Linked DNA regions of Coturnix japonica. The protein of the gene in region 1 binds, or shares a complex with, the protein of each later gene. Links are inferred from orthologs where the notes say so. Each region holds a gene or a part of one and is shown on either strand. Other genes may lie near its edges.

Region 1 (2,292 bases):
ACCCTGTTCCACTATCTGTCTTTGGAAACAATGCATGGGATCTTTATAACCCCAACTCACAAGGAAGTCGCACGGCTCGGGGGCTCCATCCACCCTCAGTTAATTGAGAATTTCCATCGCTGCTGTCTGTCAATTCGTTCAGTTTTTCAGCAGTGCATGATGAAAGATGTAAGCTTTGTCTTCAGTTTTTCTCTCTATTTACATTCTCAATTTATTATTTCAATATTGTTTTCAGTTTTTTGTTTAAAAAGTTCACTGGCAGGCAGTTCTTTATGTTGTTGTTTAAAAGCACTGGACTCCTTTACTGCTATAGGTAGATTTTCTCTCTAAACATCCAACCATGTATGTGTATAACTACAGTTCAACCTGCCATGCCCTCAGAATAAATACTTGGTGAATTCAGTATGGTATTTTATTTTTCTGTTTGATTTTAGAGCTCTGTAACTCAGCACAAAATTCTCACACATTGGGTTGAAGTATAGGAAGTAGCAAGAGAAGGCTGTTGGATTCTTTTAGTCATATTAATCCTATAAGGAAATTTCAGACTGTAGGAAAAAGTAAATGGATGCCCTCTCTTTGCACAGAAAATGGTTGATATGAGCAGTGCCAGTGCTCCCCTTGCTGCCCTGACAGCGTGTCTGAGCACTGACCTGAAGAGAGCCTCTCTGAAGCTGAGGGAATGTTTGTTCTCAGCGCCTTTGTTCTCTGGGCTACCTGAGATTGCTTATACATTTGCCACCCACCAATGTCTCTGATAGTTTTCTCACACTGATATCTGTTTAGAACCTGGCTGGTTATAATGATCAATTCTTTTTAATTATGTTACCAAATAATCTCTTGGATTTCAGATTATGTGGGATGGCACAACAAGTGAGTTTTTTTCTCTTTAGAAAAAGTTTAAGCCTTGCTTGAACTCAAGACTGTACACGAGTCAGATTTTCTTAGATCCTTAAGTGATGGTCCAAGTGCATTAAATGAGAAATGCGAAAGAACAGTACAAATTGAATGAATGCCATTTGCAAGTATCAGTATTATTTTTCTCTGTGTTTTCTTGAAGTTACTGAAGAAGTTCTTTTTGGTTAGACTGATGTACCTCATAAATATTTCTTTTCTTTCTTCTTCTTTAAGTGTTAGGAAAAGCAGGTTAATTTGGAGGATTATTCTGTTAACGACATAAGATTCTGAGGTTTGGCTGAATAAGACATTGACAGTGGGTCTTCTGTTCTGGGCACTTTGGCAGGAGATCTGGAAACCCGAAAGCAAGCAGAGAGAATACACAAATATTTCCTCTGATCAAATTGCCTTTGGTTAAGTTTGTAGTTCAAACTAAAGATACCTGAGTAAACAAACCATTCAACTACTAAGTGTAGTTTGTAAAAAGTGAAGAATGTCTACTTAAAAGTGATAACTTCTGTTTTGGCAACAGCTGTATCCGCACATGGTTTTCTGGGTTTTTCAGGTGCGTGTCTTTATCATAAGCAGCAGCTGGGTTCATTGTGCCCTGAAAGTCAAAAATAATTGAACATGTGCTGCAGAACAAAGTTTCTTTTAGAGGAAAATCTGAGAAACCTATGGAAGCCAGCTTGTTAACTAAGAGTATTTTGACCACAGAAATCCAGGGTGGTTTTTCTTAGTTGGCTTCAACAGTTGATGCTGTAATTGCCGGGTTGTATTAGGGCATAAGGAGAATGTAAAAGAATGAATAGAACTTCTTTTGTGTTCATAGAACTCGACAAAAAGAAAAATAAAAGGCAAAAAATGTGCTATTGTACTGTTAATTCAAAGGAAGAGATGGGAGCTGTAGCTTTTTTAGCATACTTTGTTGTTAATGAAGCTGTTTTATCTCAGATGTCTTATTAAAGAGAATGCGGTTTGGATAGACCAAAAAAAAGCAAAAGAAGGGGGGCGCTTCTAAATGGTGTAACAGTATTAAAAATCCTGTTGATACTGAAGTAACAAAACTGAAGAAAAGAATCTCCTAAGCAAAATAGTTCTATCTTCTGTCTGGCTTATTGACAGCAATGTCATTCAGCAGCTTCCTGAAGGACGCATGCTAAAATTACATGTACTGACGTTTACATTAAAAAAATATATCTATCTGTACCAACACTTCCTCAACTGTTTTACAGAAAAAGAAGAAAGCGGGCAGTAAGATCTCAGAATTTAACAGTACGGATGAAGACTTAGGTCCTGTAAGAGAACATGGAGTTTTGTTTGAGTGCTCTCCCAAGAACTGGAATGATCAGAAGAAACCACCACCGACAATGAGTTACTGGGTTGTGGGGTGAGTTT
Region 2 (4,274 bases), on another chromosome or scaffold:
AATTTTTATTTTTTTTTTTACAAGTTCTTAAATATTTCAAGAATTACTTTTGCTTTAGATACATTTTCTGTAAGCAAGCGTTAGAAAAACTGTATTACCTCCACAAATCATTGGAAATTGGGTGTAAAATCTTACCAAAAATAATTCAGCAATTTCTATAGATAGCAGTGAAGAAAAGCTGATCCAAAGTATAGTTACAGAACACTGCCAACTATTAAGAGAATCATTCATTTTAACTTAGAATTTAGGAGAAAAAAACCCCTCAACAACAGAAAACGGGAATTATTCTGGTAGAGTAGGCTATTGAACTACTAGATGCCTTGAAAAGTAATACTTAATCATCACAAGACAGAGATCAAAACAGCTTGAGTATTAATTGTGTTGTTTAATTACAACAATTTCTATGTTACTTGTTTCTACTGAGTGCAACATCTGTAAATTGCATTTCAACAACTAGCTGAATGCCTGATCTGCATTGCACACTGAAGGTTCATTACTTCTTTTGCACTTAATTTGTTTCCACTTCTGCAGCTCTTTGGCTTACAGCCCTACACAAAAGACATACACTAATAAAACACGTGAGGTGCACTAAAGAATGTTAGAAAATGACACCAACATCTCACTGTCTCGGAAATAATGGCAACAGGAGATGTAAAAGCAGCAAGAATATTCTGAGACAATAAAGAAAAATCCCACAAGGAAATCTGAAGACTGTGAAAAAAAAATTGACAAGAAAAACAGCATTAAATTTAGAAAGAATTTCTCTGTTACTCTGAGAAGGCGTGAAAGCAAATATGTCAGCAAATATAACAAATACAGCACACGTCTTGAGGACAAAAGAGAGCACAGATTGAGAATGCAGAAACTCAAACAGTGCATGTTGTTCATAGATCCCTGCAGCACCAGCTATCTGAAAACAGTGACATGATTTAACAGCATGAGGAATACAACTGAGGACCAGCACATGCTGCCAAGAACACCAGAAGAGTTTCCACTCAGAAGCAGAAGATATATTTTAAAAGCTAATAAACATCAGAAAAGAGATGTAAAAAAAAGAGATGGAGAAAAGAAAGCATCTCTCATTTCCCTTGTTTAGTTTCGTACAGTTACATTTTGCTTGGAAGACAAAAAATACTCTAACAAAGAGAAACACCATTTAAGCCAATAAAAAAAAGAACTGCAGAGTTATGAAGTTTTGCTGACTTGAAAAACCTCAATGCTGTCTTCAGTTAAAACATCACAAAAGGCAGGGCAGACTTAAAACAGTGTTATTCTATCTGTCACTAATTACACCAGGAGCATATTTAAAACAAACTGACAAACACTCATTACAGATCAGTTTCAATATTAGGTATGTTATCTCCAGCAGTAAACCAAGGAGCACAAGCTTGGGCAGAAAAGGATGGAGAATGAAAACAGAGCTTTACCTACAGAAGAAACAGCAACTAGCTTAACTGAAATACATTTAACCAATATAACCTGCTATGCTGGCAGACAAATCAGTTTATAACACGCTTATATTGATTTCACTGAAAACCGATATGCAATCAACTCCAAGACAACTGATAATGCTTAGTGAAAATCATCTCACGTGGGCCCACATCAGCTCCTGGGTAAACACAGATCTTAAATAACCTTCATTAAGTCTGTATGATGCATGGATGCAAAAAAGGTCAGAGTTACTGGTGTAAAGGATATTCTGGAACGGTCTGTCTGGACATCATGCTTCCTGGCACTGATGAGGCACCTCTCACAACAAGGCAGACTCTGCTTTCATTCATGGCTATTTAGCTTTGAAATTGAACCCGAGACCTAAAACTTAGGTCCAATGTGCATTCACAGCACGAGTGTATGGCTGTTAAGCAGTACAGATCAGCATTGAGCAGTATGAGACTGAAAACAAACTCAGCACAACGATACCTGTTCAACCCTGAGACTGCTGTTTTCAGTGCTTCAGGAGCTACTTCAAGAGCTGTCAGAGGGTCGGTCTCGATCAAAGCACGGGAAGCCTGGAATTGTGGCATGAGGACGATTAGCAACAAGGCTGCAAACACTGCAAACACGTTGTGTGCTGTGTGCTCACGTTTACGCTTAACATCACTGCCCCAAAGGAGTAACTGATTTCTGAGGACTAATATAAGTCAGTCTACGTGCTGCCCAAGGTGTTAAAACAATCACCTGTAAGGGGCTAAAACAGGATTAACAACTAATCCTGCTGAAAGATGTCAGGGCACGTGAGCCTACAGGCTGAGTGCAATTACAGGGTTTGTTCTGTGAGAACCTCGTCCCGGCCTGAGGAAGGAAACAACCCTGCTGTGGCTATGGCAGCAGCTGGCTGCAGGCTCGGGCTGACAGAGCTCAGCCCCACAACAGCACAGGCCGGCTCTGAGTTCTGGCACAACCAGAGTAGCGTGTCAGCAGCACAGAGAGCAGGACGGGGATGGCGGGCCCGAGCAGCGTGCCGAGCAGCGCCCAAAGGCCGCAGCACAGGGCGGCATGGCGGGGGCCGAAGCGCCGCTACCTGCGCACGCGCAGCAGCCACGCGCGATGTCCCGTCCTTCCTTCCCCTCCAGCCGCTGCTGCCTGCTCCCCTGGCGCGCATGCGCACGGCCCGCGGCTCTCGAGCTCAACGCATGCGCAAGCAAAACACCAGGCCTAACCGCCTTCCAGGAGCGCATGCGCAGATCGCAGAGCCGCTCACCGCCCCCTGGCGGCTCTATAGGCGAACGCGTTCAATGAATCGGCCGGACAACGGCGCCAATAGCGTGCGTGCCCCGAGGCACTCTGGGACTTGTAGTTCGGCCGCCCCCCTCAACAACGCATGGCGGGGTGACTCGCAACTACAGTTCCCATGCAGCTGCGCGCCGCGCCGCGCCCCGCCCCCTGCACGGTACCTCAGCGCTACGCCGGCGGCGGTTGCAGTCGAGCCGTAGAGGTGACCTCGAGGCAGCAGCTCGGCCCGCCGCTCCCAGCCATGGTCGGTACCGTTCAACGCTCGGGGCTGCGGGAGGTGGCTGGGGAGGGGCCGGTGCTCGGGGCTCCGTCGGTCGGAGGCGATCTCGAAATGGCGGCGGAGCCCTTCCCGCCGTACCTGGGGCCGTATAAAGGCGCTGGGGCAGCGGGGTGACCTTGCTGGGGTCCAGGCCCGTCGTGCGGCTCTGCCTGAGACCTGAGGGAGAAACGGCGCAGGGCCGGGGCGGGGCGGCACCTCTGCTCGCTATAAGGGCGGCCAGGTCGTTGGGGTCACCGCTCGCACCCCTCGCTTGTCTCTGTAACAGGCGGCCTCCGCGCTCTGCTACTCAAATCTTTACTTCCAGTACTTTTCTATATGCATTAAAAGTGTTTCTGTGCCCCAAAAATGACTTTTTCCAACGCTTTTCAAAAAAAAAAAAAAAAAAAAAAAAAAACACCCCAAACCTCATCAATTCTGCTTCTCAACTCTCGTTTCTATTCGAGACGTGGACTCTCAAGAGCCACCACAAAACAGAGCACTTCATTTCGCATGTGAGCTTTCCAAACTGCTTGCCATGGATCTGCTGCTTTAAAGCTGTACTTGAATGCTCAGACTCATTGGAACATCATTGCTTACAATCCCCCCCCCCCCCAGCATTCTGTCTATGTATTTGCTATTAGCATTAAACTTCTGAAACAGAATCTTGTGTCTATTGATGCAACTGCAGTTAGCTGGATGACATGGAAAAAGTTAACAGGGGCACCAGCCTGAAGGTCACTGCTGAAGGAAAGAATCCCCTTGGAGTTCTGCCCCTCCTGCTGATGCTGTCTGCCACGTTCCCAGATACATCTGCTGTCAGTGCCTCCCTGTTCCTTTGGAGGAGCAAGGGGAGGGTTTCATAGGATCACAGAATGGCTTAGGTTGAAAAGGACCACAATGATCAGCCAGTTTCAACCCCCTACTGTGTGCAGGGTCACCAACCAGCAGACCAGGCTGCCCAGAGCCACATCCAGCCTGGCCTTAATTCATAGGCTCCAAGCTTCTGAGGGCACTGCATCTAGTTAGGCTGTCTACTAAGTATTCTCAGGCATGGTGGGATTGCTTGGTTGGTCAAGAATAACAAAGATGGCAACTTGGCAAACAGCCGAGTTTAGCTGCAATAATGCTTATTCTGGTCTTTTATAACTTTAATTAGTAATCCAAAGGTCATCACTTGTGTAAGCAGACAACAGATTTTTCTTATTCCTACATCTGGTAGATAATGGGTTAACATCACTCTTTAACTAAACTTCGTAACTTCCTGATCTGTTTTGCCATGTAG

Evidence for each region.
Region 2: the proteins of INTU (region 1) and WDPCP are in contact, whole or in part, in a cryo-EM structure (PDB 7Q3E), measured with the Mus musculus proteins. The link is inferred for Coturnix japonica from reciprocal best matches to the Homo sapiens genes INTU and WDPCP. Residues at the interface, in NP_780724.3 of Mus musculus: Val481, Gln484, Val488, Asp491, Ser495, Asp496, Glu498, Ala499, Ala500, Asp501, Ser506, Glu507, Asp508, Arg513, Arg514, Thr517, Ser532, His533, Leu534, Pro535, His574, Tyr593, Glu610, Gly613, Cys614, Ala615, Ser616, Lys617, Ser653, Pro654; in NP_663400.2 of Mus musculus: Phe3, Cys4, Leu5, Ile24, Leu51, Ser54, Arg55, Asp56, Lys93, Leu385, Ala386, Glu387, Asp388, Tyr389, Ile427, Lys446, Leu447, Gly448, Ile449, Leu450, Thr451, Arg452, Gly453, Leu455, Leu462, Gln463, Ile465, His466, Tyr467, Gln487.

What each region holds. Positions count from the first base shown.
Region 1 is NC_029519.1:30,260,566-30,262,857, forward strand, and holds part of INTU (protein inturned), read left to right. Parts: coding exon 1-168; intron 169-2,129; coding exon 2,130-2,284; intron 2,285-2,292. UniProt on the Homo sapiens protein: Plays a key role in ciliogenesis and embryonic development.
Region 2 is NC_029518.1:1,963,561-1,967,834, reverse strand, and holds the start of WDPCP (WD repeat-containing and planar cell polarity effector protein fritz homolog), read right to left. Parts: upstream 2,801-4,274; 5' UTR 2,603-2,800; coding exon 2,522-2,602; intron 2,516-2,521; exon of another isoform or gene 2,179-2,515; intron 2,010-2,178; coding exon 1,921-2,009; intron 1-1,920. Other genes in the region: MDH1 (malate dehydrogenase, cytoplasmic), read left to right, coding at 2,852-2,977. UniProt on the Homo sapiens protein: Probable effector of the planar cell polarity signaling pathway which regulates the septin cytoskeleton in both ciliogenesis and collective cell movements.